3 linked regions of the Astyanax mexicanus genome follow. The protein of the gene in region 3 interacts with the protein of the main gene of each other region in a pairwise test. Links are inferred from orthologs where the notes say so. Each region holds a gene or a part of one and is shown on either strand. Other genes may lie near its edges.

Region 1 (11,781 bases), on a different chromosome or scaffold from region 3:
ATTTATTATAAGTTTGTTGTGAATCTGTTGTTGCTGTCCTTATGAACCTAGACTTCATTGTCTGTCTCTGTTGTTCACCTCAGTTGTCTGTTGCTTTGTTCCATTGTCTCTGTTGCTGCCCTCCATTGTTTGTCTCTGATGTTGCTGTCCTTTATTGTCTATCTCTCTACTATTGACATAAATAGATAAGAATTACTTCACTATCGGTATTGTCATTAAAACTTAAACATGAATTAATAATAATATAAATTGAAGTGTTCTGTCTTATTCAAATCTTCCTACAACTGTGCTGGGACTTCGTTAACTTAACTTAACGTTAAACACAAAGCGAAACACAAGCAGATTTAAACTCTAAACACAGTTCCGTAATCCGGAGAGGCAGACGGTTAGAATGGTGTATAACATGTCCGCATTCGATCAAATATGGACGTAGGAAAAACGCAAATATGAAAATCATATTTCATAACTAGGCATATTTCGCCCTAAATGTTTATTTTCTGAAAGGAGATACGGTTAAATAGGCTAGATAACTGAAAAGCTTTAAAATGGCATATTGGGTGTCTATTGAACCTATAAGTATTCATAAACACAGCCAGATATTAAATATTATATTTTTCTGGCCCGCCGGCGGGCCAGGGCGTGTTAAGAGGTTAACCCCCTTTTTACACCTCTATACTGTATTTTATATATGGAGAGTAAAATACACCCTAGCTTGATCGTCAGCATTGCAAAGTGAGTGACTGAATGTTATTGTCACTTAACCTACATTTCTTAAAATTCAACTAAAATCCAGACTTTGGAGTTATCCCAATAATAACAGTAATAATCCGGTGTTACATGTACAATATACTATTGGGCTTAGCCGAGCCCGGCACTGTTAATGCAGGGGAGTTGTAAAGAAATAGAAGCCCTGCACTCAGCAGCTTACCGATTTTGGGCCTTTTTTTGAACAAGTCACCAATATTTTGGGACAATGTTACCGCCGTTTTCTTCCGTTTTCGCTCCTTGTCTTCTTTTTTACCCATTTTGTCAAGTAACTTTCCCCTGATTCTTATTCTTTCCACAAGCTAAGAACAGAAACGGGGGAATTGCCGCCACCTACTGGATTGGTGTAAAACAGTCTGAACAAAATGTGTAAAGAGAAACATTAACCATTTTTCTTACTCGTCACTACTCTGGGGGCAGGAGGGGAGTTGGGGTGGCTGAGGGGGGGGATGGGGGGGATCGAACGAACCCTTCGATCCCCCCTGGCTACGGGCCTGCCATAAGGTATCTTAATGTTCTTTGTTTTAGTTTTAATTAGTATTTAAAACAGGTCAACAAGACCTGTATAATCTTTACAAAAATTATTTAATACCAATAACTCCAAAAAGTGCAGTCATTTAATACCACCGTTAACATTGTTAATTTCATACCAAAATATTTTTTTAAAAATAAACGTATAAATGGATCAATAAAATAAACAATTCAAGTAATGTTATTGGGAGTGTATTTATATTAGTGGTGTTAACTGAATAAAAAATCTGATTAATCATTATCAGAATTATGTGACTAATTGTGATTAATCATATTTTGTTTTTCTTTTTAAGACCAAGCTTTAAATAACAGCCAAGAAATAAGTGTTGATTTGCTCAGTTATATTTAGAATATTGGTTTAAATCACTTAATTTTCAGGAATCCATTTTATTATAAGTAAAATCATTATCGATTTTGTTATGTGTGTTATGCCATGCACACTAGAGACTTTTTTTATACGTATAGATTACTAAAAATCAGAGTAGTTACTATAGCAGTTTCATAGAAGAAATAAAATGCTAGTGTAGCTCCATATTCTTTTATCTTTATCAACCTGAAAATAGGAACCATGTACCACCAGCTGTGTGTGAGAGAATCTGAGTATAACTTGTCATGTGAACAATCCCCCCCTCCCTTTTTTTTTAATTAGGTATTAAAGTTTCCAGATTAAACGTGTTACATGTTGACAGCCCTATTTCATACACTTGTTTTTGCATATTTAAGCTGTGGTCAACTGGTTTGAAGCGGGAAGCCGTTTGACCAATGCTTGATGTTGATGCAGTAAATCAAGTAGATCAAGGCGGTCTGGCACTCGAGACAAACAGTCCTCAATGCTACCGAACATGGCCTCTTCCAAAGCTCTGCGTTCTTTCATAGCTGGCCTCAATATTGATGGAAACTCATAAAAATAGAATGTAGCCTGACATGATCTAAAATCTGTATACAAACAGCAGCAGAGACCCTCATTCCTGGAGAGCCTAACATCTGAAGTGTATTTGGAAGAAGTATGAACTTCTTTTGATCTTAAGTATCCGAACGTAACTCTTCAAAATATCGAGAGTGTAAGAAATTCCTAAAGTGTGAGAGTCACAAAACATGTCTGGATAAGCAGAAAATTTGATTCAACATAGTGTAATTTACAATTTACAACTGGTCTTTTTAATGTGGATTTAGCAGTGTGCAATTTCCCAATAAAAATCTTTTTGGGGCTTTCTGAGATTTAGATTTAGCATCAATTAAACAACAACTATTTACAGTTTACAGCATTTACAGTTTAAATTAAGAAAAAGTAAAGCAAATACCAATACCACTCACATCTGGAATGAATGTGTGGTCGTTGCTCTGTGGTCGTGGTTAAATCATCAATTAAAAGTCATACAGTAAATTATTCTACTCGGCTGCCTGTACACAGTGTAAACCTGTTTACACACACAAAACTACACTTTCTGCCAAGTCCTTCAACACTTAAGAAGTCTTGATAAACCATCTCCTCACTGAGGGGAAAACAACCAGAACTTAAGAAGTCATGCATGAACAGATCACAAAGCAGGTCAAAGACAGTCGAAAAAAAAAACAGTCTGTTTGTTTGGCTTTCTTTGGAAACTAAATACGACAACATTACAAACATTCCTAATGGGGAAAGGAATTTCACAAAGCAGTATCTCAAGGGTACCTTATCTCATGTTCTTTTCCATCTCTGAAGTTGAAATCGTGCTCAACTGCAATCTCTGCAGGCCCAGCTTCAAATAAACACCCATATTTGGTAGGGAAATTAAAATCTCAGCCTTCCAATATAACTCACTGACAGATAAAGATCATATTCCCATTACACTCGATGTTATTAAAATGTCATTTCAAGCACACGCTCTAAATTTTCACCATAAGCCGATGGAAAGCTTTTATTTTTATAACATTAAACTTTAATTATATATCCAAAATAACATACCTAGACTGATCACAGTCTTCAAAAGGCAAGTAATGAAAGCAGTCTAAATTTACATCCATTAAATCATAGGTAAATTTAGTATTACAGATGTCAGAATTAATCCAAATTTATCTGGGATTCTGACAATCTAGGCATAGGGAATCAGAACTTTAATCCTAAACAAGTTCTGAGTGTTTGTTTTAAATCTGACGTTCTTAAAGCACTATTAACAAACATTGATGCCCAACCAGTGTCACTGGGGAGAGTTCTCAGAAGATAAGCGAACAAGTTCAGTTGGAGTTTGGAAGTATTTTACAGAGAAACAGAAAAAACATCATTATATCTGAAACTATTGAAAACTATTGTGGAAACACTGGATGTTTCTGAGGGTAGATCTACACACATTTCTTTGTTTTTAAATCATGATTGAACACACTAAAAACACTCTTAAACAATGGTCACTGAAATCAAATTAAAATAAGAGCAAAATGCCTTATTATATAAATTGTTACACAAAAAGGGATTTTATCTCACAATTTATTAGCAGACATTCCTAATTATAAAAGTTTATACATGAAGTCTAACATTTATGCCATTTAGCTGGCATCTAGAGTAATCTGCATCTAAATTATAAAACCTGACCGGTGCCATAAATGCGTATGACAGGTGTAGACAGTGGTAAACAAGAGATTTTTGCATCAAGTGTGAGATTTGGTCACTGACAGAACCAAAGGCAATGCAATATACTCGAAAGACTCTAAGAAGCCAATGCACTTCTTACCTAAATGGACACATCAAACCAACTTTTTTTATACAAAGAGTGTATAACACATTACAACAGCGTACCAAAGAGTTATGCTTCCCCAAAGTTTTGCAAAATTTTATGTAAGTGTTTTTCAATACAAGTATTTGGGCTATCAAACTCCATGCTAGTACTTAAACAAAAGTGTGGACACTTACAGCTTGCATTCCTGTAAAGCAGGAAAGGGTCCTGAAGCTGAAACTCCAAGTCTTTATTGATTGGCTCCACCAAGTTCTCTGTGCTCAGACGATTCATGATAGTGAACCCATGATGGGGTGATGCTGACCTGCAGAAATAGAGAATTCTCTTCTAAATACAGTACATGAGCAAAGCCAACTGATTATACAAATTAGAGAATACTTACCTGGCATAAACAAATAAAGTGCCTTCAATGTCAGTTTTTTCCTGTGAAAAGGAAGTTACACGTTAGTATGTGAAATTGTTGGGCTTTAAAGATATTACTCATATCTGAGCACAAGTAAAAACTACACACTTGTGTTCAAAACTTGTAAAGAATAAGAATACAATAAAAACACAAAATAAACACTCATAAATAAACTACAATTACCTGTCCATAGTCCTGTAGACATAACTTTTTTTTTGTATGGACACATATACACACATTATTATGATTACTATTATTGTTTTTTTTATTATTAATGGTGTATATATATATATATATATATATATATATATATATATATATATATATATATATATTTTTTTTTTATTATTATTATTTTTTATTATTATAAGAAATATTTTTGGTAACTAAATCCCCTGATTTTAACAGACTCCATCCTCAGCTCAAATTTGAAAAAAAAAAAAAAATAAATAAATTAAGGAGTAGTTTGGAAGGAGCACTGAGTGATGTATGGGTTTAGGGGCGGGACAGAAGGGAGGGCTGATTTGCATATTGTGAGTACATGAAAACATCTTTACCTATAGAACAGTTGAATCTGTGAAGGCACTGCAGAGGCAGAAGTCAACGCAATAAAATCGTGTATTAAAAGGTATTAAAGGTTAGGAAAAGTTTAGAACTATTTTAAACAGGACTGATAATTGATGATTTTATTACTTCAGAGGAACACATTTAACTCTTAATGACAAAAGATTATGATTTGGGGTTAAGTACCCCTCTACTGTAACTAGAGTAGGTTAGTTTAAGTTATCCTGAGGCTGGACAGACTAGCTAAGTTAGCTACACACCGTAGTTTAACAGCTGCGTTATTTACAGTGAATGAGAGAACTCGGAGCTTCAGCATTAAACACAGAGAGAGAGAGAGAGAGAGATAGCTAATCGGCTAACTGAGCTAACTTAATCACTCCGCCACAGCCTAAAAAAACACCCGCTTACCCACTCGCTGGCTTTAGAGTTAAACTTGTAGAGCGCGACCTGTCCGGTAACGTCGAGCAGCTTGTTGATATACGGGTCGTAGTGCTGCAGGGCCGCCAGGCTCATCAGATGCCCCGCTTTATTCACTGACTCCATCTTGCACACTGGCCCGCGGCTGCACGGAACTAATTGAGGGGAACACAGCACCGCTTCGCTTTCTCCTTCCGGAGGAACGCAGGTGGCAACAAAACACTGGTTCCGCGTGGTGTATAAAATCAAATGAAAGATTTATTATAAATGTAAAGGTGAGTAAAAAACTTGGGTGCAAGTTCCCACTAGTATGTAGAGAACAATATTTACAACATAGAGTAGAATAAATAAAATAAAATAGAAAGTATACAATTAACTTAAGCAATATACACAATTACTTTATATATTATATAACTCTATAACATTATAGACATATGGTATTGCACTGTAGATGTAAGGTAAAATATATAGATATTACAATGCTATATACATGTGCAGATATCTAGAATATGTGTGTGGAAGTCCACAAGGTGACAAAGTAACTATGAGTAAAGTGCAAATAAATAAAATAAATAAACAAATAAATAAACGTACAAATAATTATGTACATTTAGCAATAGAGGACATTAAAGTCCATGGCAGGGCCTGAAGGAGGCCAAATGGAAATAGTGGGATAGAGGAGGTAAAAAGTAGTTAAAAGTAGTTATTTTAGTTTATTTATTTTTAGTTAGTGGTGTTAGGAAAGTAAGTGCTCTTTAAAGATCTCTGCCTTTAGGAGGTTCTTGAAGATAGGGAGAGATGCTCCTGCTTTGGTAGCAGTATGTAGTTTGTTCCACAATTGGGGAACTATGTAAGAGAACTGTCTGGATTGCTTTGTGTGAATGTTTGGTAAATCTAGACAACGTTCCCAGGAGGAACGCAGTGGCTGGGAGGTAATAGACATTTAGGGTGAGTGCTGTTCCTTCATCACCTTGTAGGCAATTGTAAGAGCTTTACATTTAATGCGAGCAGTCAACGTTAGCCAATAGTAGCCAGTGGAGCTCAGTGAGCAGTGGGGTGACATACAGACTTGCCAATTCTTCTGGAAGTTGCAGGAGTCTACTGCATATCAGTAAAGATTGCCTGATGACCGCAGGTCACAAAATCTCCAAGAAGAGAGGGTACTGATTTGCCTGTTCTCTGGAAAGAGTCTGAGTCAGCCAATCAGTTTTAAGTGTGGGCGGACAGTGTTTTTTTTTTTTATGGCTCCCATCAAAACTCCTTGAAATTAATTTTTGCAACTTGGGATGTCTGGACATGCCTGCTGGTTTTGGTTGGTTAAAGACCAGGCATGCTGCTGCATTTTGGACCATCTGTAGTGGCTTTGCTACAAAGGCCGGGAAACCCTTTAGCGATTTCTCTTTTGAGACAATGACGGATTAAAACATTATATCTCTAAAATGAACATATTTTTTTCCTAATTTCATGAACTTCAAAATGAAATACATTTTGCAGCATTTCTATTGGAATTTTGAGTATAAATTTCAGTTGCATTAATTTACTGTTTCCTGTCAACACCAGGATATCCGGCACATTGCTGATTTGATTGCCTGTCAGATCTCACTGTGGGGAATGATGATTTAAACGTCTCACAAGATCAAATCTTTTCCAGAATCAGTTGGTTCATTTGATTCGATCTCCCAAAAGCTTCACTTTTGCCATCACTAAAACAAACAAACTAAAACAAAAGAAAAAACATAAAAACAGCAACACAATCAACAGGATCAAATAATGCATGGCAGAGAACAAAGGAAAACATGGAGTACATCATACTGTATATATGCACACAGACACAGACAAGGAACACCTGGCCAGGTTAACAAGGGGGCATGGTTACAAAAGAGACACAGGTGGGAACACTTATGACAAGGCTGGGCTTGGGCGGAGACAAAAAAAGAGCAGAAGACAGGAACATAAAGGACCAAGAAAAAAAAAACCAGACAATCGTAGGCTTAAGGTGTAACAGATAGATCTAAATCAATTATGACTCCAAGATTATGCTTATTGCTTCTAAACCAGAGCTAACAACAAATCAACCAGATTTAACATTACGTCTGACTAATTTCTTGCTGCTTGTGGAACACAAGGAGAACATCTGTTTTGTCACTGACAGAAAGAAGTCTCGTTGCAGGTGGTAGCCATGTGAGAAAAGAAGCTACCACAAGATGTCAGTGTGAAACAAACTATATTTAATAAAAAAGCTCAAACGGCATAAAATCTCCCTCTGTAAATAAGTCTGTTGAAATATATATATATATTTTTCAATTTTTATTATCTCACACAAATCCCAATTGCTGTAACTTCAGATTATAAATTCCCTCGTCTTTAGACATTCTTATAGTTAGTAATTGTGTTGTACTAAAGTGTTTATTTTGAACAACACAGTATGAATTAAACATTTATTAAGGTGGAATGGGACTGTCGGAGAAACATTTAGTAAGAAAACAGAGAAGAAAGTACCAGGCTATGGCCTGGAATAAATCAGTAACCCCCTATGGTAAGGAACATTAGCTGGATTATTATTGGGAGATTATCAGTTTGAAAGTGTTAGCTGCTAGGGCAGGTAATCCAACCCTGTAGGATAAGTCTTCACATACAGCACATTATATTTCTTCCAGTTTCAAGGCGGAATGTGGCAAACTAATGTCGTCCTTTGGCTACAAATCAGCAGGAGGTGAATGGCATTCATTCCTTGGAGAGCAGGGCGCCGAGGTAAGACTTTGATGAGGAGGGTCTGACTCATGAAGCAAAAAGCTGTCTGTGGATGGAAGCTGTTTCTTGTTCAGGCCCTTTAGGCTCCTGCAGTAGGTCATTACGCAGGACCTAATTTAATGATATATTAGCGCTGTTCAATGTGAATCCTGAAGATAATAGTCTATAGACTGGTTGTAGCATGCTTACTTTGCTTCTAAATATAAACTTAAATCTTTTAAGCTACTGTCCTGAGCACACAAGATCAGTTACATGGGAATTGGTTTTCAGCACACTTAGAAGTCTTCAAAGGCATATGCAGTTAAAATAATAAACAATGAACATCCATAAACAGGCTATAATAAACAATTAGATGTGTATATTCTATTAATATATGCTTTTTACAGATTAAGATAATATTTTGTACTGTATTGTATTTTTTACCATCATGGTTCAACTATGATCATTCACTGTACATAAAATAAATAAATAAATAGTAATTTTGTAATATAAACGTTATAGTATACAGTATATAACCATATAAAATATAAGCACAGTAAATTAATCATATTCCTTGTACATTTACACTAACTTAGCTCAACGTAATCTTAGGCTTTCACTTAAAAGCTCCAAAATGTAACAGTAGGGTACACCTGTCAAAGTCAAAGTCAAAGTGGTTTTTATTGTCATTTCAGCTATATACAGAGTACACAGTGAAACGAAACAACGTTCCTCCAAGGACCATGGTGCACATAAACACAGTGTAGACAGAACAATAGTGCAACAGTACAAAAGTGCAGACAGACAATACAACACCATACAGACAAAGAATAATAAATAAATAACAAGACAGTGTGCAAATTTTGCAGTGTGCAAAAAAGACCAGGTGAGGTAGTAATTACTCTATTACACAGTGTGCAATAGAGTCCAGTGAGGTAGTAGGGTTTTTAGTGCTTTCCATTTTCTGGGGTAAGTGGGGTAAGAGTGTGTGTGCATGTACAGAAAAACCATCAGTTCAGTCTCTGCAGTTAAGGAGTCTGATGGCTTGGGGGTAGAAGCTGTTGCAGAATCTGGTGGTGCTGGACCGGATGCTGCGGTACCTTCTTCCCGAAGGCAGGAGGGAGAACAGTTCGTGTGAGGGATGAGTGGGGTCATTCACAATGCTGGTTGCTTTGCGGATGCTGCGGGTGGTGTAAATGTCCGTGATGGAGGGGAGAGAGACGCCGATGATCCTCTCAGCTGTCCTCACAATACGCTGGAGGGTCTTGCGGTCAGAGACGGTGCAGGTCCCAAACCAGGCAGTGATGCAGCTGCTTAGGATGCTCTCAATGGTCCCTCTATAGAAGAGTGTGAGGATGGGTGGAGGGAGACGGGCCTTTCTCAGCTTCCGGAGGAAGTAGAGACGCTGCTGGGCTTTCTTGGCTGTAGAGCTGGTGTTCAGGGTCCAGGTGAGGTTATCTGCTAGGTGGACACCAAGGAACTTGGTGCTCTTAACAATCTCCACAGAGGACCCGTCGATGTTGAGTGGAGAGTGGGTGTGTTGTGCTCTCCTGAAGTCAACAACCATTTCCTTTGTCTTGTCCACATTCAGGTGAAGGTTGTTGACTGTACACCAGTCTGTCAGCCGCTGCACCTCCTCTCTGTATGCTGACTCGTCGCCTTTGGTGATGAGACCCAGCACGGTTGTATCATCGGCGAACTTGATAAAGCTGTTAGAACTGTGTTTTGCAGCACAGTCATGAGTCAGCAGGGTGAACAGCAGAGGACTCAGGACACTGCCCTGGGGGGCCCCCGTGTTCAGTGTGATGGTGCTGGAGGTGCTGCCCCCGAACCGGACTGACAGGGGTCTACCTGTCAGAAAGTCCAGGATCCAGTTGCAGAGGGGGGTGTTGAGGCCGAGCGAGCTTAGCTTCCTGGTGAGGTTCTGTGGGATGATGGTGTTGAATGCTGAACTGAAGTCTATAAACAGCATTCTGACGTAAGTGTCCTTCTTCTCCAGGTGGGTGAGGGAGAGATGAAGGGTGGTGGTGATGGCATCGTCCGTGGAGCGATTGGGACGATACGCAAACTGCAGGGGGTCCAGTGAAGAGGGCAGTTGTGTCTTGATGTTCCTCATGACTAGCCTTTTGAAGCACTTCATGATGATGGGTGTAAGTGCAACGGGACGGTAGTCATTGAGGCAGGACACTGTGGACTTCTTCGGCACGGGGACGATGGTGGTGGACTTGAGGCATGTTGGGACAGTGGCGCTGCACAGGGAGATGTTGAAGATGTCCGTGAGAACATCTGTCAGCTGGTCTGCGCACTCCCTGAGCACTCTGCCGGGGATGTTGTCTGGTCCTGCAGCTTTTCGTGGGTTGACTCTGCGCAGAGTGTTCCTCACATCCACTGCAGTCAGGCACAACACCTGCTCGTCTGGCTTGGGCATGGTCTTTCTCGCCATCGTGTTGTTTTGTGCCTCAAACCGTGCATAAAAGTTGTTTAGGGCATCAGGGAGGGAGGCATCACGTTCACAGGACGGTGGCATTGTCCTGTAGTTGGTGATTGCCTGGATGCCCTGCCACATGCGCCGCGCGTCACCCGTGTCCTTGAAGTGGCTGTGGATTCTCTGGGCGTGTGCGCGCTTTGCCACTCTGATAGCTCTTGACAGGTCGGCTCTCGCTTTCCTCAGGGCCACCTTGTCACCCACTCTGAAGGCGGAGTCGCGGGTCCTCAGCAGCGCACGTACCTCAGCAGTCATCCAAGGCTTCTGGTTTGGGCCTGTGGTGATGGTCTTGGAGACAGTGACATCATCAATACACTTGCTGATGTAGCCAGTGACTGATGCTGCATACTCCTCCAAATCAATAGAATTGCCTTCAGTAGCAGCCACCCTAAACATGTCCCATGCAGTGCACTCAAAACAGTCCTGAAGGGCAGAGATGGAGCCTGCCGGCCAGGTTTTCACCTGCTTCTATTGGAGCATAGATATCCTAAGTATTGTTTCTTAATAAGAATACACAGGCAGATTAAAGAAACCTAATCAATTTTATCTTTATGCGCACAAAAACTATCCAGCGCATAACTCTTCTTAGCCAGGGTATCTTATGAACTTATCTTGTGCAAGAGAGGGAACTCTTGGTCTTACTTTTCTGGGGTGGTCCTAATGAGTGCCAGTTTCATCAAAACTTTTTTATGACTGCACTTGAGGATACTTTCAAAGTTCCGGAAATGTTTTGGGCTGACTGACCTTCATTTATTAAAATATTTTTTTCTTTACTTAGTTGAGTAGTTATTGCCATAATATGGATTATAACAATACTAAAAAGGGCTGTTCACTGTATTATTCACTTTACAACACAACTGATGCTCTCAAACACATTAATTAAGAGGGCAACTCTTAACGAGGCACAGCTATTAATTGAAGGTCATTCAAGGTGGCTCCCTCATAAATTTGATGCTCACAAGCTGATGGAGAAAATAATTTCAAATTATGCCAAGATGTGTAAAGCTGTCATCTAAGCAAGCAGCGTTATTTTGAAGTATCTAAAATGTTAAACATATTTTGGTGTGTTTAGTATTTTTTTATTTATTAAATATTTCCATATGATTTTCTTTGTAATTTGAATGACTTAGTATTACTCTACAATGCAGAATTATTTTTTTGCATTTAAGATGTGTCCA
Region 2 (11,025 bases), on a different chromosome or scaffold from region 3:
AAAAGAAAAATCAAAATCCAATGGTTACGATCCAGACTCTACCCCCCCTCTTCCTGAAGCTTCTACCCTGTTTCACATGCACAGAGACCAGGCGTTACTTGAACCTCACTTAATTCCATCATTACTTAAACCCATATGAACACATCTGATTGTTGACAACCCAAATACCAGCTGATCAATTCTCATCAGCTATCAACAACCAATAAAACAAGCGTGCAATAATCATAAAGCCAGAGAAAGAATTCCAAAACCATCTGATTCAGAGCACTCGGGTCCTGCTTCCAACAGAGAACACTCTGAGTGAAAAACTGAATATTTTCACATGCTCATCTGACCCAACCGTATCCTCCTGCTTATAGACTGACCACAGCCTCTATTGACCTCCTGTAACTTAATCATCCCACACCACGACTTCCAGCGCACCTACTCTCCTCTCCTCAAACCTACAGCAAAGGATACCATATACAGACGGGAATAGTCACAGAACGAGGTAAGAAGAGCATGAGAGATGAAGAGATTACCAACACAGACCAGAGAAACTAAGAGATGGGTCAAAATTACGATATTTTATCATATATCATACTGATTTTATAATATTGTAGATATCATCAGTGCTTAAAAAAACTGACCAACTGAGCGAGCATTACATTTAATTACAAACGGTGCAATAACTGTAGTTGTGTTTAATTTTAAAAAGCATATTACGAATTAAAGTAAAACACTTTACTATAAATACAATTTTTAATTGCTTTATATTTAATAATTCGGCATTTGTTAAGAACACTGTTATTCAGCTATTGATCCATTTTCTTAGCGTAGATTATGAATCTTTCAGAAAAATCTTTAAATATCATGAAACGAAATATTTTTTTCCTATTAGGGATAAAGTGTAATTGGTGTAATTATTAATTGCAGTATAAAATCTTGTGTAACAACTCTGATTAAAACCTTTAAGGCTGAGTTTTCATTTTGTCTTCAAAAAAAAAAAAAGTAGTTTTAAAAGAACTGAAAACAAATGATGACGGATTGTGTGACATAAATCACACAAATTGACAATCGCATCATCAGTCCCTGTGCTCTTTTATTCCCCTCTAGTTCGTGTGTGTGCGTGTGTGTGTGTATGTGTGTGATGCCAAGCGCACAGCACCTGCGTGTGACTATTTTGCGGCTGCTTCACGTGAGTGTGTGTGTGTGTGCCTGAGTTTGTGTACGAGTGTGTACACTTGCACAAGTCCAAGAGGCCACTTATTGCACCTTTGGAACAAAAGGCCAAAAAATATACCTCCCCTCTTTTCTTTACTGCCCTCCCATCCCTTCTTTTCTCCTGAAAGAGTCCCGGCGGACGGAGGGGCGGGGGTGGCATTCTGTCTCTTTTAACTCGAGTTAATTACCCTTGGAATGCTTCAGACCCCTTCAAACAAGAGGAAGTGGCAGAGCTCCGTCTTCTATGAGCAGAACGGCGTAAAGACAAAAGAGTGTCCAGACAGAAATCGACAACAGGCCACAGAGACAGACAGACACACACACACACACACACACACACAAGGATGACACCTTCACACAAGGGACAGCGAAAAGACCCGAATCCAAACAAGCTCAAAAGCAACAATGCCAGTAGCGCTTACACACACACACACATTCTCGCACATGTGAGAGAAAAAGGAGTATGACAGACAGAGGACTAAATAAGAATGCAAACCAGTGGCATGAATATTGACATAATTTAAAAGATAAATTAATTAAATGATTTTATAAGGAGATTAAATGGAATTTAATTTACGCAATCTCCCTTTATTCCCCCTCTGATCTCCCTGCCTCCGGGGCTTTCAACCCCCTCTCCTCTCACACGGAGCAAAAAAAAAAAGTGAGAGAAAAGGTGGAAATGAGCTTAAAAATCATCACATTTTCTTCAAGGGCCACCGCAGGTCCGAGCAGCCGGCAAATCCACGGCCAAGCGACAAAAGGTCGTACACGCCTGAACGCTCACCGAGATACCAGGTACAATTTAAATGATCTGAGCGCCGCCGAGAGAACAGACACCCTTGATTGCCGCTATTCTGCTGGAGGATGTCGCTTGATTTTTGCCGTGAAAAATTGGTGTGAACACAGATTCTTGCATTTTTGGAAAATTGTATTAATTGTGTGTCTCGTGTAATTATTACACATATAAAACAATTAAATTGCGAAACCACAATTTTTCCTGTTTTTAAACTGAAACATCCAACTACTGAGTTGAATTTAAATTGGTGTTTTCAGAAAAATACTAACATTTTCATATATGAAACAAATAATATTTATATATTTATATATTTCATGTGTGTGGACATGATATTATCACACAATCAGTTTAACAACTATTTTATTTGCGTGTGCGTGTGTGTGTACATGCGAAATGTCAAAGACGTACGATAAGGAATATCACAAATTTCATTCAATTCAATGTAAAAATTTGTAAAGTAAAAGCAAATAAAAAACACTATATTTATATAAAAAAGAATTATTTATTTATTTATGTATTTATATATAATTTTTGTAATGACATTTCTTTGCACAAACAGCAAATATCTCAATCTCAAACACAAACACACACCCGCAGAAAGGAAATTTAAAAACAAAGAGAGGGTGTGAAATGTGCTTTTGGATTATTGAATCTGAATTCCTAAACCTCATCTTGTGCAGCGTGTGTGTGTGTGTGTGTGTAAATATTAAAACGAGCATGCAAATGAAATGTACATGCATGGCAGTAAGCGAGTGTAATTATGATAATAGCTTAACTGCCACTTGTTGTTATTGCCAGCGTTAATATACTAATTAGAATATTGCCAGTTAATTTGTATTATAAGAAAAGATCAAACGGTAAGTAAGCAGCAAATGAGGAAAATGGGGAAAAAAGAGAAGCAAGCTGTGGAAAAGCGATGTTCTTATCTTTACATTTACTTTCACAAGCCTTAATCCAGAGAGCGTAATGAGCACGCCGAAGGTAAAGAGCTGCCGAGCTGTTCTGGTTGAGAGCTGGATCCCACAACCTTCTCTGTATCTGTGTGAACCTCAGCCAGGGCTTCACTGATCTAAACCACCTTTACATTATCCGTGCATGATATTACACTTCTACTTTCTGAACAGGAATCACTGCATCCTGCAGGCTCCAACCTTTGTATCTGTGTGTGTGTGTGTTAGAGAGTGTGTGTTCAAAGTAAAATCCTTCAATCAATCAATTAAAACTATCAAACAACCAAACAATCAAATCTGCACTCATGATAACTCCTCTGGTACTGCCTGCATGCACGCACTGAGGAAGAGGAAGATGCACAGGTCGAGCTTTCTCGCGTGCCTCCCGCGTCCCCTCTGTCCCCTGGCCCTGACTCTGATTCCTGCACTGGCTGCCCACATCGCTAGAGTTAACATAGTTTTATATAATATATATATATAGTTTTGTATATATATATATATATATATATATATATATATATATATATATATATATATATATATATATATAAAGCCAGAACAATGCTAACTTGTTAAAATATTAAGATGTCATTTTATTTTTTGAGATAAAAAGAGGCCTATATCTGTAATAATAAAATTCAATTTAATCTGACAGTGGTCTATGGTGTGTGATTTTTCATTACACACAGACACAAAATAATAAATAAATAAATAAATAAACTTGCATTGACTGCCAAATACTAAATCAAATACAACCCACTTAGAACTTCATGCTCCTTTATGATATAATACAATTATATGTATATGTTATATTAAGAGTATATATGTTGTAAAAAAATAGCTGAAGGTTTGTTTAAAGATTGGAACTATTAATAGACTAGAATAAACAATTATATATATATATATATATATATATATATATATATATATATATATATATATATATATATATATATATATATATATATATACGTGGATATGGATGATGTATCAAGATTCCTAAAGTTTTGATCAGTCTCAAAGCTGCACTACACGAAAGAATGGCATTATTTAAGATATTATTATTATTACAATACCATTATTTTACACATACACACACACACACACACACACAAAAGTGATATATAAATATAAAATTATAAAATATAAAATATACAGCTCAACCCTTCAGCTGGGACTGATTTATGGATCACTTTCTCAGGGATTCCTCCAGCCGTTCTGACAGCGGAGAGCGAGCGAGACGGAGCTGAAGCACAGGGCCACTTTCACTACCACCACCACAACCCCCCATCATCTGTCCTGCACTCTCTCACCCCCTCTCACACCGCCACTTTTTTTTTCGCGTGCCGTCCTTAATGCCTCCGGTGAGCCACATGCTGAGCGGCCGGTCAGTGATTCAAGCTCTCCTTCTCTAAGGACCACTTTCTTCCCTTCTCTCTCTCTTTCTCTCTCTTACAATCTCTTACTCTCGCATCATGCCTCTTCCATACTTTCTCACAAACACAGGGTCCTACACGCCAAAAATTAACTATTTCATTGTTTGTTTCGTTTTTTATTAAAAAAATGAAAAAATATATAAAATCATTCTCTTCATTCTCTATTATTCCACTTATAGTAGTTAGAGAGTGGCTGAACAATGAATAGGTCAGTTTTAACACACAAAGTGAGAAAGAATTCTCTGAGAATTCAGAGTGCTGCACTTTAAGCACTCGCTCCCTGTAAGGGAAGCTTAACCAACAGTACAAGTACACAGGTAAGGGACACTCTCTCTATTACTGAACACACTGCACCTATAGCTGTGCATTAGCACTAACACACACACACACACACTCTAACACTCTTATTCTCTCACACACTGTAGGCTTTAGACTAACTACCTGACAGTTACAGTGACCACGATAGTAACGACAGTAACGGTAAGAATATCAACAACCTGGACATGCTATGGGTCCATCTCCCCAATAATAATAATACTGCTAATATTAATAATTAAGACATGCACTGCAGGTAGCGTACAGGAACACAACACATACACACACACATACTGTTTACAACTCACACACACACATAAAAATATATATATATATATATATATATCCGCACATGACTAGCAATGACAAGCACCATCTATACAAACACATATACACACACTCAAATACTGTACATATACACACACACACACACACACACATACACATACACAAGTCAGGCAGTCACAGGTAGAGCAATAAGTAGTAGAGGAATAAGAAGAAAAGGTAAAATTTACCTACTCTTGTTCAGAGTGTAACGAGAAACACTCGGGGAGCGAAAGTTCTACCGACTCCATTTGCGTTCTGCGACCATCATTTGAGCAAGCCCTTCTATATAAATCAAAGTTCTGTTTTTATTCTCTCTGCCTCTTATTCTCTCTGCGTCTCTCTCTCTCTCTCACTCTCTCTGTGTCTGTCTCTCTCTCTCTCCTCCTCTCACTGTCCCGTCACTCGAGCGGTGCAATTAACAGAAAGCGTTCTCCCGGTGACAAGCCTATAGGCACAGCCAGTTGGGACCAAAAGCTCTTGCACTCTTCTAATCAAGGACTTAAAGCCACGATTGCTGCTCATTAATATGAAGCGAGGCTTTGCATATGCAGTCCCCCCGGCCCTTCCCGACGCCAGATTGGTGACTTCTCAGCCAATTGGAGCCGGACAAGGTGCTGTGTGCGCGAGCCGGGAGAGCGGGCGGACGGGGAAGGGAGGGGACAAAGCGGGGGAGAGCCAGTGAGAAAGAAGAAGGGGAGAGGGGGGTAGATAGATTGATAGAGCAAGCGCAAAAGAGAGAGAGAGAGAGAGGGGGAGAGAGAGAGAGAGGGGGGTATAACGAAAGAGAGAGCTTGAGAGAGAGAGAGATTTAAAGAGGCAGTGCGGTGCATGTCTCTCTCTCGCAGCACTGCTTATCTGCGGGCTCACACTGTCAAGCGTGGAGATAAAGGCGCTCACTTTGTTGATACAAAACATTGTAAATGAAGCTGTGTGCTGCGAGCAATGTGTTTGCTCCTTTTCTCGCTCACCTCCCTCTGCAGATCCTTCTCTCGCCTTCTGTCTGTCCTGCCTGCACCGGGAAGGTCCCGCGCCAGTAGATCCCACACTGGAAACCAGCGAACTGTAAGAACAAGCACTTACGTTAACCTCTGAACTGGGGCATGTGCATACGCTTATGCTAACTGACTTTGCACTGGTTATAATACATCCTATATAAATATACACTGTACATCAAAGAATTTAGCATATAGTGTATATATGGTATAAATTATATGAGGATACTATAAAGCTATAAACAATATATAGTGTAGTATGTACAATACTACAATCATATAATTACTATATATATATATATATATATATATATATATATATTAATATATTCTACTATAAGAATTTCTATTTTTTTTTTGTGTACACACAGCAAAAAGTTCTCAGCAGAAAGTTCTCCACACTACCGCACTATATAACTATATACTCTCATATATACTCTATGTGGTATATAGATAGCTAGTGTGTATAAGAGAGTATATAGTGTATAAAAAAAGTGTGGAGAATGTTTTGAAGTGAAGCTGAGCTGTCTGGAGTGGACCAAAACTATGATGGCTTGGCTTGTATTATTCACAGGCATGGTGTGTGTTTGTGTGTGTGTGTGTGTGTGTGTGGAGGGGTGGGGGGGATTGGGTCCGTCCGTGAGAAAAGATCAAAGACTCCCCTTTGTTTCAGAATGATTGGGCCACATTTGCGCGCCTCTCTCTCTGTTCCTGAGTCGGTGTGTATGTGTGTGTGCGTGTGTGTAAATGTGTGCGCACATGTCTGAGTGTGTGTGTGTATGTGTGTGTGTGTGTGTGTGTCACCACGCTCGCTGCATTTCCAGCAGCAGCAGGGAAGATATTGCTGGGCTCTCAGCGCAGCGCAATTCCCCACTGATAAGAAAATTCAGGAGCCGCAGCGGCCAGCTAACTATTGTGTCTGCCCCACCACGCTGCCGCCCAAATTGTCTCTGGCCGCCTTTTGTAATCCAAAAACTTGCTGCAGATTCGAGCCCCTGTTTCTCCCCAAAAACACACCTTTCCTGCGCCTCAAAACAAAAGAGAGCACACAGCAGTTAAACTTACACGACTGTAAGGCTGTAAGGGAATTTCCTTAAATAAAGCACAGTCTGATGGGCACAGCATCTTTACAGTATCTTCTTTATCAACTATCAACTATACTATCTAAATTATGTCTAAGAGTGAGATTATTGAAGTTTAAAGAAATTTAAATGAAATGATTAATGAAATTTAAAGCCAAATTTATCTATGTATAAAAAAAATATATAACCCATTATCTACAGATTATTACTGGACAGATTATGAAATTATATTTATTTTATTTGTGATAAGGCCTGTCATGATATTGTACTATAATTATTAATAACAATATCAACTTACTAAACAATACATACACATGACTTATCCATTGTGTTATTACTGTTGCATATTAACATTCTTACATATGAATGAACTTGAATGAACTAACATTTAAGGCTGTTACACAGTGACCAGTGCTTCAATAACAGCGAGGTACAGATACACACAGAATGGACTACAGCAGCTTACGTAGAAATATATAAAAATATACATCACCCAAACTTTTATTTAAGTTTGATTGTATTTTATTAGGTTGTACTTGCATAATTGCTATATATTGTGATACTGTTACTGTGAATGAGCTGATGTGTTGACTTTTGTTAAAAACATTTGTTTATATTTTTTTGGTTGTTTTTTACAGATTTCGAATTGCAATATAGCGTGCAAACAAAAAATATATATTTATCAAGATTTTGTGGCAAAAGCGCATACTTTCTCACATACATAGAAATATATATTCAGAACTTTTACTAGCCTGCATCAGTGAATGAAATCTTAGATTAATGTTGCCAAGGACTCAATGAACAAGCCTAAGTTATAAGGAATAGAAACAAATGAATTAGTGAGGAAAAAAGACTAGAAAAACACTTTAGAGTGAAGCTTTTTGTGGAAAATAAAAGAAACTGGATCTGGAATACCTGGCATTTTAGTTAAGCAGCTGAGAGAAAAAACTGAGAGTGAGAGTGTATTTCCTTTTAAGAAAAAGCATAAGCAATGTGAAAGCATAAGTATTCTGCACTGCTGAAGGACACGGTGAGCCTAACAAAGGAGTTTTTTTTTTTTTTTTTTTACACCACACACACACACACACACGCCCATTTAAATATTTCAACTTCTCTTTGCAAAGTTGCACTAATGTATTCATGTGGCTGCTTTAAAACAATGTATACTACTCCTGAGCATCACAAAAATAAGGCCGCTGATCAAAAAAATACTAAAGCTCAGATTCAAAGCTGCATGGAGCAAAAAAAAAAACATGTTTTTAAACTATGTTTTAATTACGCAGTTTGAACAGAGAACTGGAGGAGGAGAGGAGCGAATGGTAGAGGAGCGGCACTCGCGCCGGCATGTGAAAGGCAGGAGTGGGGATACCTGCGCTCTGAAAGATCCCTGGGGACTAACAAACATTCCTCATATTAAGATGTCTGCGGATCAAATGGTGGGCGCATGCAGAAGCAGAGTAATCGGCGGCGCTTTCAGAGCTCAGATGCATGCAGGAATCATGATGATGATGAGTGGAAAAACAAGCGTAATTTGCACAGTTCAGACAAAAAAAATACAAATAAAAGAGAAGGGGGGATTTTTGAGTCTTTGCAGTACAGTTTATATGTTTAGATTTTAGAGTATGTGCTGGGAGAAGGACTAGGAAATATGACTGAAAATGTATATTGTATTTATGTGTAACATCAAAAACACAGTGTATACTGGATATTTAAATAGTACATATCAGTGCATCCAGGTTTTTTAAAATAATTAATATATTTTATAAACATAAGAAAGTTGTTTTCTTTGTCACAAAATTTCATTGATTCAGTAAACTGCACTTGCTTTAAATCAACATGCTGCTCTTTTAATTGTCGAGTGTCAAACCTCCTGGAACCAAACCAAGCAAATGACCACAAATGACCTATGCATGTTATTTGATGGAATAAATAATAGATAAATGGTAACCTATGCAGAAGGCACAATATTACCATGTGGTTATACTGTATATAGAGAGTCATATGTTTTCCACAACTTTTTTTATCTAAATTCTTATCTATTTTTTAAAAAATAATAATACTTTTGATATATTGCCCAGCTCTCACTGAGACTATGTAGAAAAAGTGGTAAAATTCTCTCTCTCTCTCTCTCTCTCTCTCTCTCTCTCTCTCTCTCTCTATATATATATATATATATATATATATATATATATATATATATATATATATTTAAAAGTAAAAGTACACATATATATATACCTATATATATATATAAGTAAAAGTATATTTATATAAGTATAAGTATATATATATGATTACAGTCATTACAAAGATTACAGTGCTGCTCTTCTGCACTTCTTTAAAATGAACGTAAAAATAAAAAAATGTAAACCCCTGCCACTTGTCAATTAAACTTGTCAATTAACACCAAAACAATACAAGAAAACTGTTGTTGGTCTACAGCAGCCATAAAAGCCAGCTCTTCACTACGCCTTCACTAAGCTAACCTGCTCTCCTTAGCATAAAGTCATTGCAGAAAAAAGGCAGCTGAGAGACTGTTGAGGCAGGCTTCTCGCTACAGGCTGTCATTAATAGGCTTTAATCCCTGCAGCCTTGCTGAATACATTTGAACTTAAGTATGCACGGCCAGGCCGGGCTGATTGCCCCGACTGTCGATACGTGTCAATAGCTGCCCCTCGTTTCCATTAGCAGTTTTCACACAACTCCTTCCTCCATTGTTCGGAGGATCGCTGCCGTGGGTGTTTTACATCCTCCGAGCCTCGTCTCGCCTCGCCTCCAAAAGTGAGGCACGATCTCCCCGCAGAGATAGGCAGATATTCAATTCGAGTGCTGGCAGACAAAAGACTTGTGCTAACACAGAAAAGAGGGGCATAAAAAACACAACACAACTAACGCACGGCTTCAGAAAGTGTCGTTAGCTCCAGACGGCCTCTTTTGTTTGTTTGTGCGACTGCGTGTGCGCTGCATGTGCGCGTGAGCCGGCAGCGCTCGCGTGTGCGCGGCTGTATTTGTGTGTGTGAAATGTTAAAGACAGTGATGACCCCTTTGGTCACCGGCTGTTGACACGCGGCTAAGAATTATCAGGGCTAGCTCGGCGGAGCATCAATCACGGCAGTCAATAGGGGAGGGCAAGTTCACGCGGGTCACATGTCAGCCGGCTTGGCCGCCGAGCGCGCAGTCAATGCAGGCCGCCGCCGCTGGAGTTGTTTAAAATCAACTTGTCAAATTTGGGCCTTAATAAATTCAGGAGGTGGGCTGCTTTATTCAGAGCCAGAGCATTCAGAGACATCAGAGCACACACACACACACACTTACACACACATAATATAGAGGTCGGGCTGTGCGATCTGATAAAAATGTTCAAAAAATATAATATATCACAATATTTAAAGACATTTTAGCACAATATGATATTTATCATAATACATGATGACACATGATTGCAGTTAAATAACTGACGTAATGATCAATAGCAACAGATCCTTACACAAAAAAATACTATCCAATACCAGCATGACTTTTAGTCTAAATAAATATTCTAAGTCAAAACCACTGCAATTCATTAATTAAAACTGGATTTAATAAATAAATGTAGGGTCAGTTGGAGTGTTTTTTTTTTTTTACTGATGATCTCAATATGCTTAGGCTCAGTGTAATTTTGATATGATAAGAAAATAATATATCACAATACGCTATAAATAATCAAGCAAAAATAACAACTTTACACTATAACACTATTACTGCAATGATATAATAAAAGCAAATAAACAACCTAAATAAGTAATGTATAAAATACCACTAATATATAGACCTATGTTTCAGTTGCAATCTTCTGTACGTAAAGTATTACTATCTAAAAATCCTAACCAATAGGTTTTGTGTAAACTAATATACTACACTGCTAAAACCTTGATACAGCCATAT
Region 3 (11,024 bases):
TTTTACTATATTTAATTGCCATCTTTCCTTTTCGAGCTTAAATGTGTTCCGACTAGTTTAATCTACCACTGTACAAGGCTGAAGTTGGCTTCTTATTAGAAAGTTTCCCCATTTTAGGCAATTTCACAATTTACCTTAAATGGTACATCTATGCTCTCTCAGTAGCGCATGTCCAATACCAAAGCATGTTTAAGGTGGGGATTTTCTTTCAGTCATTGCAAATACTGGGATAAAAGTGGCATAAAATTGTGCTTTAGTGTTTAATCTACATTTCATATGTTAAGTATGGAACGTATGTTTTGGTCATGGTCAGGTAGGTTTAGCAAAAGGTTGGTAATCTGAATTGTATAAATCAGTTTGATTAAAAAAAGTTCCAGGAATGTAAATTAATGAGCTCAAATGTCCATTTCAGATGACCATCCCAATCTTTGAGGAAGGTATGGTTATACAAATAATAAATGACCAATAAATTAATAATTAATAATAAAAATAAATCTGAACTTTGGTTTAAATTCTACCAGCATTGTGTAGATCACATCTTGATTTGGGAACTACAAAATAGTATGAAGAATATCATTGTTTAACCAAAGCTTTGCAATATGCAAAAGAAAACAGAAGCACAACAATATCAAAACACATACACACTTGTGGGGGAAGGGAAGGGAAATTATTTTAATTTTTTTGCCAAATTATGCAGTGCTTTCAAAAACATCTTTAGAACATACCAATTACAATCAAATGGGGCATTTGTGTTTTTTCCACAGTGACACTTTAAAGGTTGGGACAAATTCAGAGCCAATTAAATAGAAAAACTTTTACACACATACACAGACCCAAAGAGGAGGGGAAGAGGGGGCAGGGGAGAAGAGGAAAAGTTCAAAAAAAAAAAAAAAAAAAGGTTATCTGGAGCAGCGATTATGTACCCAAAACATCAACATGCGGAGGAAAGGCTGATGTATTGGGTGCAAAATAGCTGCTATTTATTAAGAAATATAGAAGTATAAAGTTAAATAAAATCACAAGGAGAACTATATGAATACAATCCTAGTTACTGAAAAAGTGCCTAAACAACTGATTTAAAAAAAAAAAAGCAAAATAAGTAAGTGTGTGAGTGTAAAAGTTTTTCTTCAATTTAGAAATTTCAGTTCAGCATCTTTTTTTTTATTTGCACTCAAAAGCCTGTTTTCACCCTCAATACTGTGCATTATACAAAATAAAAGCATCATTATGTGCAAGATCACTGGCAACAGTCAGCACAGTGTGGGGGTTTCCACATGCTATAGGCAAACAGTATCTTTTTTTTTTTTTTTTAAACAAAAATAATATATTTCATCTTTTGAAATCAAGCCACGTCTTCAGCGTGACTTACACATTCAGTGTTATTACTAAAAATACTTTATCAGCAGGTTTAAAACAACCCTGCGCAATGTACAATATGCTACAATATTTTATACATTTCATTATTTACATGGCTCTTCTTACATAGCAAGCTTCGTTTTATCGTCTTTTAGGCGGCCGTTAACGGTTGCGCAAGAGGTACCGACAATTTCACACGCCATTTAACACATGAAAAAAAAAAAAAAACAATTAAGGGTGGTAGGGGGTGCCGTTTTGTTAAATGTACCCGCCACAGGAAGAACAGTAACTCAACAGCAGTGCAAAGTGAACACAAAGCATGAAAGGGAAGTGTATGGTTTTGGCAGGCTACGGGTAGGACCTTTTGGTTTGTTTGCTCCCCTCCTTATATGTAAACACATCCATACTCGTGTCCCGCGTCTCAAAACGTGCGCAGTGCTCCAAATCATCACCTCAGAACACACCACAACACAAACAAGGCCATAAAGCAAGAGCAAAGGTAGAGAAAAAACATCACCACCCTTGCATCCTGCAGGCAGCTTGGACCCCCCTCCGCATAGAAGTTGTGTTGTAGGTGTTCTGAAGGGATGCTCAAAAAGCTTATTAAAAACTTGAAAATAAAAAACAAAACATTACTGATTGTATTCTTAGATATATGTATAACACTTCACCTGTTCTGGCACATATGGCACTTAACCATGTGATAAGCAAAAGGGGACAAAGCTATTGCTTTAGTAAACGCAAATACTAACGATTGATTACGCGACAGAAATAATGCTATGGAACTTACAAACCTTGTTGCATTTCAACACCCATAGTGCAGTGCGCACAGCGCAATTTAAAAAGAAAGTACAGGAGTTGAAAGCACAAGGTCTGGGCATCACAAATACACCAGTCCAAGGTTAAACCACAACCTAGGACTGACTGACTGCTTGTTCTTCCACACTCAGCTTGCTCTTTAGAGCAGGTTCAAGCAGCTTCATCCCCCCTCTCATTAGAAACTAGACGAATGTTACTCAAATCTAAAGATCAATGTGCTACAAATGCTGATGTGCTTTAGCTCAGAGAACTTTTTGCCCAACCCCATCATGATTAAAACGTCATGCAGAGGGCTAGCAATAAGATTCTGGAAAGTAGAAAAACAAAACTGATGCATTGTCAAACTGGCGATGTGTAACGTAACTAACGGCCAATAAAAAAAGAACAAAACAAAAAACAGCGAGGAGGAAACAGTTCATCGTTCATCAAAGGCATACAGCTCCACTAAGAGCTCTCCCACCTGCAAGGCTGCAGCAGCTAAACACCTCTTGGGACATTAAAAAAATAGTAATAATAAAAAAGGATACATAGCCCAGTTCCATCTACTTGGATTAAGGCCAGTCTTCAATGAAACAGAAATGTAAATAGCTAATGTTGTACTATTAAAAAAAACAGTTGGGCCAGAGTTAATCTTAATCTGGACCAAAGAATCTAGATCAGAGTTGGTTTAAGCCTAATTGTGAACAAAATGTTCAAATCAATGAAAATTCACCACAGAAAACTAGCCTTTAGTCCAGATTTAGGCTCCTTGACCACATCTGGGAAACCTGCTCAAAGTTTAAAACAAATCTTTGTTAAAATGGGTTTAAAAACTGGTATTAAAACACTGCAGCGTTCCAGGAAGGTAGGAGTCCAAAGTGGAGCGATCGTTAAACATCGAGAGATCATAAGTGAAGGTCATCCTCACGCTTGCACCTTTAGAAGGCTCTTTAACTGAAAGGCCATCATCTCACGGCGATCGCAAGGACCCATGGGCAGAGACACCCAGTGACTGGGTGGTTTAGGAAGAACGCTTGGAGATGGGGGGTCACTGAACTTGGCTCCTGCGTAACTATGGCCACACTGCGCTGCCAAGAGGTTGTTCAGATGAGACACTGCGCCCTCCCAGTTTTGGTCGTACGGTGTGGCGAAGCGAACAGTCCCGTTCTTTTTCTCCATGGACACGGCCTGCCGCGCCTCGGGAGACCACGAGTAGCCGCTACCCTTGTCACTCCTGCGATGGCCGTGGAGATGGGGGCCCGCTGGGGCTCCAGAAGACGCAGCAAGCACGCCTCCGTTTTGGTTACGGCTTCGTTGTTTGGCCCTGCCAACCTGGTGGTTCTTTTTCAACACCGAGTGATCGGGGTGGGACACTGGAATGTTGTATCTCTCACCACCTCCCATACTGCACACACTGGATGTCACCTTTAAGAAGAAGAATAGTACATTTGTTAAAACCAAATTATTTTGGGCATTAAAATTGTTGGTTTCAAGCAAAGAAAAGAGGGGAAGCATACAAATTGCAGCATAGAAAATATTTAACTTTCCTTCGAATAATTAATGTAAAAATCAGGACAAAAAGAACTGAAACTTAAGACAAAATGCCGAAAATATTTAAAGAAAAATTTCACTAATCACTTGTATATAAAAACAAATGACTAAACAAGCTGATGAACACGACCAGACCACCAATGCATACACCAAAAGATGTGTTTTTAAGCTGCTAAAAATCTACAAGAGCTCAATTTTTTTGTAAAATGCATTTCTGCCAGTTTAAGTATACAATAGTCATGTATACAATATAAAAAAAAGGTTTCGTTCAGAGAAAACCTGAACAAAACAGAACAATCTGATCACAATCCATGCTGCATTAACATTACATAACGGGCTTATTTTGGTTTGGGAGAAAATATGCAAAACTGAGCTTAATCGAAGGGGGTATAATGTTCTACTGCTACATTGACTAAAAGTTTAACTAGAAGGAGGAAGTCCAAAGGAAAAGGAAATAAAACTGGTCGTGTTTCTTTTGCTTGGCAATAACAAAGACCTACGTGCAGAGCAGGCAGCAGCCTCAGCCCATCCCCCACAATGTTGTCTGAGGAAGTACAGGCTTACCTCTTTGTGTTGAAGCTGAGTGCGTAGATGTCTCTATTTCTTAATTTCTCCTCACCAATCGGGCTCCAGGTCCTCGAAGTAGTCGATCTACTTCTCACTGCACGCTTTAGGCCCACAGTGTCTGAGGTTTTCATGTGCCAGCAAGCGATGTTTGGTCGTGAAGCCGAGCTGAACATCAGTTCACCCCAGCACACGGCGCACTGGGAAGCCGCGGATCTGTGAAAGAAAACAAGAAGAATTGAGTGGGGGCAGTTTTGTAATTTTTCTACAAATAACAGACTCAAGGGAAGATTAGAATATGAATTTAGAGTTGTGGGGATAATCACACTGGATAAAAAAAAAAAAGTAATGTTTGTGGTCTATTAAAGTGCTGTCTGTTACAGCGTATTAAACCCAAGCAAAGAGATTTACAGACAAAATAAAAATAGATAAATAAACAAAAAGACCAAGCAAACACTAAGAACCAAGCAAGAGAAGACAATTATTTGTCGACCTAGATATTTAAGCTTATGGTTGACAGTATTTCCGCTGAAAACAAACTATGAACCATGGAAACCTAGTTTAACATTATACTCAGTTTCCTTCTTCTTGTAATAGCTAAATGTATTAAGAACATTTAAGCTTAAGCATCCAGACAGCCAGTTAGTCCTTAATACTTAATATTACCTGAACCAAATTGTGGATTTTTTGAATGCCAGAAATATTAAAATTATACAACCCACAACTAAATTAAAGTTAGATAGCGAAACTAGCTTAATGTATTTGTGTTACATAAAAGAGCTTACTGATCTTTTTAATCATGTATTAGCTACGTTACATAAAAGTTAAGCTTAAGTGTCCAAGTAACTTACAGTTCCAGAAACTTAACAAAATGTAGATTTTTTTTTAAATGCCAGGAATATTAAAATTATACAATCTACACCTAGCTAGGTTGTAGATTAGCCTCCCTATCTTAAACTCGTGCGTTAAATAACTTAGGTTAACCTTAAGTTACATTAAACAGTTGACTGAGTAATAATGAGGGGGGTTAAATAAATAAATTATGAACCATGAAAACAACTATCTAAATAGGATACCTAGATAGTTAACAACGAACTTCATAGTCTGGTGATAGATAAACTAATGCGAGTTATATATTAAGGAGTATATACTAAAACATATTCTACAGTAAAAGCAGATAATCTAGGACATGAATTTTGGCTCCACACCAAAACAAAGAAACGTCCCTCTCAAACATGGCGGCGGGCTTTGTGAAGAAACACAACAGAGCCGAACAACCGTCGACCTACCGACTTCCTCCGGGTTCTGATGGCGAAAGCCAGGCGTCTGATACAGGCTGGTTATTTCTGCTGCAGCTCTGGGGGAAGAAGTTCCTCACACGGTGTGTAAAAATCCTCTAAATTCCCGAAACTAGCAGCCCGGATTACTCCTCTCTCCTCTCCTCCGTCTCTCTCTCTCACAACAAAATGGCCTCGCCAGCAAGAATAAGTAGTTCAGGTCTGGCGGGAACCGACCAATCAGCGTAGAACAGCGAAGCGCATTGACCAATAGGAGGACCGAGACTGGCCTGTTGCTGCGCTCGTTACGTCACAAGCCAGGCAACCATCTGTGGGGGTTTTTCTTCACACAGGAAAACATTTCAGTTTTGGTGTTTGTCTGTTTGTTTTGTACGTTTTTCAGCTTTTTAATCCCATTTAATTTCATTCTACATTCCTTATTGAGCGCATTTCACTCTCTACAGTTCGTAAATCAGGTTTTCTGACTATTTCCCAGAGTCCTTTTTCTAGTTTGTGTTGCTCTTCTTTGTTGCAACGTTGAGCAGTGCCAGCTGTTCATCCTGCCCAACAGTCTTCACTTCACATACTCACATTTATACAGTTTCTTATATTTATACTGGGAAATATGATCATATTTCAACACCTGCACGTTTCTACGACTCTTCAACTCTTCCATGTGGGGAAAAAAAAGACAAAACAAAAAGACAAGAACTGAATCTCACTCGGAAAAAGAATATAACCTAACCTATTCTTTTAAGTCGAATACCAGGTGATGACATATGCATATAAACACTGGTTTATAGAGCCCAATCTTTGTATGCTGAATACATATAAACATACATGTCTTAATTTTGTACCAACAACATGACTCATAGCCAGAAAAACTACCGTCACTGAAGAGCACACAGCCAAAAGTAAAGAAATTCCAGTCTCTTTTATTATATACAGTTAGGTCCATTAATATTTGGGCAGAGGCACAATCTTCAATATTTGCATTTTATAATCAGTATCCAAATCTACCATAAATAATAAATAATAGGGGACAAAAAAACATCTAAAGAAGCCTTCTTTGGACAGGTGAAACTAAGATCTGCTTGTACCGGAATGATGGAAAGAAGAAAGTATGGAGAGGCTTGGACCGGCTTGACAGAAAGTAAACCACATCCTCAGTATAACATGTATGGGCATGCATAACTTTCAATGGCACTGGGTCACTATTGTTTATTAAAAAAGACTTAAGCACAAGGATGAATTCTGAAGTAAACAGAGATTTACCTTCTGCTCGGATTCAACCAAATGCAGCAAGGTTGGTGACGGTGCTTCACAGTACAGATAAACAATGAACCACATAACATAGTTCAAAAGCAACCCAGGGAGAAGGAGAAGAAATGTACTAATCTAAGTCAATCAATAGATCTGAAGCCGATCAAGTTAAACAAAACTAAAGGTTGAAAGACCCACAAATCAGCAACAACTGAAGACATTTGGAGTAAATGTCTGGAAAAAGCATTGTGAAGAATTAAACCCAGTATTTAGTGACGTGCATGGCCTCCAGACTTCAGACAGTCATTGTCTGTAAAAGATTCTTAATAAAGTTTTAAAAATTATCATCTTATTTATGAATTCATCAACTGCTTTTAAACCCCTGCAATATGGTAACTTTGTAAAAATATCTGTTGTGATTCCTAAACACCTCATAAGATATTTTTGTTTAATTCTGTGAATTAAACCAGAAACTCTACAATTCCAAGGCATTTGTTTCATTTTAAATTCAGTGTGGTGGCATAAAGAGCCCAAATCATAAAGACTGTGTCACTGTCCAAATATGTATGGACTTAACTGTATGTGCTCTATGTATTGCTGTTTATATTTTCTACATCATTTGAACACATCAGCTGTCTTTAACATTATTATTTCCAACTAATAATTAACATGCAAACACTGGTTGAGTTAAGAAAACAAAGAAAACACTCTGTTTCCCCAACACCTAACCACCACCTCAAACAGTTCTCGCAGGGTACGGGGCTGTTATCACCCATCCCCATGTTTCTCACTTCACCAGATCAGAAGGTGTGGAGTTTGGGTTGTAGTAGTGCTAGTAATGGCAGGAAGATGACTCTCTTTCTCTTTAGAAGGAGTTTTGGCCTGAAGTTGGGGGTGGGGATGAGCTGTTAATGTTTGGTGCTCTAGAGCCGAGCATTTGTGGCTCCTCACACCTCATAGTGAGTCTCGTAGGGGTAAATGTTGAATGGGAGGCACTGGAGGGGATCGATTTGTACTTTGCAACAACTTTATTTATAGGTGTTTATAAGAGTTAACAGTTTATTAATAAATGCATACAGCCCTTCAAAATTATTTCAGGCAGCCTTTACCTGCTCTGTTAACATATCCTTAGATTCATACTATAAACACAAAATAGTAATTACTATTTAGAAACAGTACTTATTGATAAAAGGTGTTCATGAAAGGGATGTGCTGATGTTTGGTGGCATTTAGTGTCCTAGGATACAATTAATAAATCCAGTAAATCTTTTAAAAGTCCCATGATCTCTTCCTGTAAACCTAAAGTATAAAATGCTTGAAAAACGACAGCAGCTTGAATCTGGGTTACAAGTGGCTGTTTAAGAGAATGGGAAACACATGTGTCCACTCACTCCAAATGCCATAATTCAGCCCAGGCATGTTTGGTGCCTGGGTTCAGCTTTTTAAAATACGAACTGGAGCATTGTTAACATTCACTGGAAGCCAATAGTTACCCAAATCTGCATCTAGGCTTTATTAAGGTGGGCATGACTTGCTGATTTGACATTGCAAATTTCTGTGGATTACAAACATTAACATGGATTCATACAGTGTGTTTGGGCATATTGTAGTTTATAAATGTATTGACTTTTTACCATTTGTTTTTTTTTATTATTATTTAATAGTTTATCTAGGTATGTTTGGTTTGATCTCTTTTATATTTATGCTTTCTTAATTTAAACCCTCCTAGATTCTTACATTTATTTACTTAAATTTATTACCTTTGCATTTTAACTGTCTTTTGTCAAAGGTGATTAAATATAATTATTTTTATTTTCTTTCAATCCCTGTCTGTTGTAAATACTCAGCTACACTGAAAACGGTGGTCTTCCTCAAGGTACCTTCAATGTAAAAAATTAATGTTGATGGTCTGATGTAAAACATTTGGGCCAGTACTGATTTCTACAGTTCATCAACAAAGTTAGCCAATTATTTAGCACTAAATATTCAAAGGTTTAGACCCTAAATATGGGTTTCCCTACATGCCAAGGCGCTTCACCAAACCGAATACTGTGAGCATTAGTGCAGCATTTGTTTCATAACTACAGGATTTTACCTCCATTCACACTATATCAGTGTTTTTCAGTTTCATTTACTGAAGGACCATTGTCCAACACATCTCAGTGATTTATTGTCTCAGACAGACACACCTGTTTCAACTCATCTGTCACTGTTAATGTGTGTGTTTTAGAAGGGAAATCCCCCAAACAATGCACTACCAGAACTGAGAACCATGTGCTAAAACATTCAGGAATCTGATTTGACTTTAGTAAAATATCCGTGTGGAAATGCAGAGCACAGTGTCATGAAAGAAAGCAGAGTTTATACCCATTATGAATACAGTGAGGATTATACATAAGACTGGTAATGTCCTAATCAAGTAATTTTTCGCTCAGATCCGATGCAATTCATTTAATGGTGAGTATCAGCCAATACCAATACTGGTCACGTTTATGTCTGTATTAATAATGTAGCCACTCAATTTTAAACTGAAGTAAAATTACTTATTTTTGAGCTGATTTTTTACTTACTGTTTTATAATGTGTTTAATACAATATAATCCAGCCTGACTATTCAGGTCCAACCCTCTTTAAAATACTGCAGTCAAGTAACTTTTTGTGTGTGTGTGTGTCTGTGAAAGACAGAACAGTACATCCTTAATTTATTATGAGTGTAGGACAACATCAATATGCAAGTAACAGTTTTTTTTATTTGATTTTAAACCATCACAATATATTGCCTTGCGTACAGTATCACAATATGTTGTGATATTTTGAATCTTGGCCCCTGTATCATGATACATATTGAATTGATTCTTGCCAATAAACAGCTCTAGAACCTGGATCTGATACCAACAAAATTAGATTGGGATTATGCATCAATGCCACTGCACACTACTGGAAAATCACCAGAGCTAGACTAAGATAAACACCCGATTTTTATTCCATGATTGTGATATAAAATCAGAATTTAACTTTAAACATGATTTAGTTAATCTTTTTCAGAATTTTGCTGAAAAAAAAAAGAAAATTAATAAAACTACTAGCAGAAACGTTAGCAATAATAATAAATCAACATGATCTCAAACAGGCAACTTTACATGAAAAAGTAAAGCAACATTCTCATAAAAGGGACAAGGGTTAGTTCATAAACATCCAATTGTATGTTCCATCAATAAAAGTGAAGGCCTAGATTGGCTTTTAAATAATTATCTGCAGTCAATTTTTGCAGAGTTTGCAACCTTGTGTCCATGTCCTTATGTTTAGCAGATTAGCTTTGAGAACATAAACAAGTCTTTCCTCAAAATATCAGAAGTCTCAGGGGCCAATCATAGTCCATGTGCCCATATTGTCCTTGTCCAGAAAATAAACCAATACTAAAAATAACCTAAACCAAACACCACAGACCTTGTGGAGACCAGAAATATTCCTAGGTGTAAAAATATATTCAAGCAATATTTTTTTTTTTACTAAAAGAAAAACACTGTAATACATGAGAGCCTACCACCTTTCATTCCATCTTCTCAAGGCCATGGTGAAATTCCTAGTGTCTACAAAACATTGGTAAAATGGCTGATACCTTAATAGGGAATTTGCTGACTATTAGTGTCTAGGTATCAGTACAGTTTAAAGACTAAGGAATCAAATCTCACAAACAATTTATGAACTTATAATGAACCAAAGTACTGTCCTTTTTTTTGTTAAATAATTATGAGACGTTTGAGAGTCCTTCTTTTCTGTCTGCTTGACTGCAGAGTCCACATTCTGTAAGATTATATTTAATCTTTAGTTTAGAGACTCAGTGTTGTGGCTGGTTGTGGAGGTCTCTCTGTCCATTGGCTGGTCTGTGGGCTCAGATGTTGGCTCAATCTGTCGCTGATCCTCTTCACAGGCACTAGGGTTCCTAACACAAAGAGTTTGTTAGTATTTGTGTCAACATTGTGAACAGCATTGGAGGATTATGTCAAAATATTTACTATATATATATTTTGTTGTCTATTTGTGTCTTGTTAAGAGTGTAATGGTCTTAACACAGAAAATACCCAAACAAGTTGCACACATGAAACTCACCCATCGTTACTAGAAGCAGCACTTTCTTTTTGCATCTTGTTTGTTTCTTCGTTGTCTGGTTGTAGGTCAGGCTCTGCTTTGCGCTTGACTCCCTTAGACCTTTTTG

Evidence for each region.
Region 1: the proteins of pnrc2 (region 3) and dcp1a interact in binary tests that used the Homo sapiens proteins (3 or more experiments, as listed by UniProt). The link is inferred for Astyanax mexicanus from reciprocal best matches to the Homo sapiens genes PNRC2 and DCP1A.
Region 2: the proteins of pnrc2 (region 3) and esrrga interact in binary tests that used the Homo sapiens proteins (3 or more experiments, as listed by UniProt). The link is inferred for Astyanax mexicanus from reciprocal best matches to the Homo sapiens genes PNRC2 and ESRRG.

Annotation. Positions count from the first base shown.
Region 1 is NC_064419.1:11,674,903-11,686,683, reverse strand, and holds the start of dcp1a (mRNA-decapping enzyme 1A), read right to left. Parts: upstream 5,561-11,781; 5' UTR 5,515-5,560; coding exon 5,380-5,514; intron 4,428-5,379; coding exon 4,387-4,427; intron 4,309-4,386; coding exon 4,181-4,308; intron 1-4,180. UniProt on the Homo sapiens protein: Necessary for the degradation of mRNAs, both in normal mRNA turnover and in nonsense-mediated mRNA decay. Removes the 7-methyl guanine cap structure from mRNA molecules, yielding a 5'-phosphorylated mRNA fragment and 7m-GDP.
Region 2 is NC_064421.1:38,112,408-38,123,432, reverse strand, and holds the start of esrrga (estrogen-related receptor gamma a), read right to left. Parts: upstream 5,561-11,025; 5' UTR 5,276-5,560; coding exon 5,220-5,275; exon of another isoform or gene 5,216-5,219; intron 1-5,215. UniProt on the Homo sapiens protein: Orphan receptor that acts as a transcription activator in the absence of bound ligand. Binds specifically to an estrogen response element and activates reporter genes controlled by estrogen response elements.
Region 3 is NC_064411.1:32,344,536-32,355,559, reverse strand, and holds pnrc2 (proline-rich nuclear receptor coactivator 2), read right to left. Parts: upstream 5,745-11,024; 5' UTR 5,559-5,744; intron 4,486-5,558; 5' UTR 4,270-4,485; intron 3,580-4,269; 5' UTR 3,559-3,579; coding exon 3,079-3,558; 3' UTR 646-3,078; downstream 1-645. Other genes in the region: uncharacterized protein LOC103038371, read right to left, coding at 10,634-10,751, 10,919-11,024. UniProt on the Homo sapiens protein: Involved in nonsense-mediated mRNA decay (NMD) by acting as a bridge between the mRNA decapping complex and the NMD machinery. May act by targeting the NMD machinery to the P-body and recruiting the decapping machinery to aberrant mRNAs.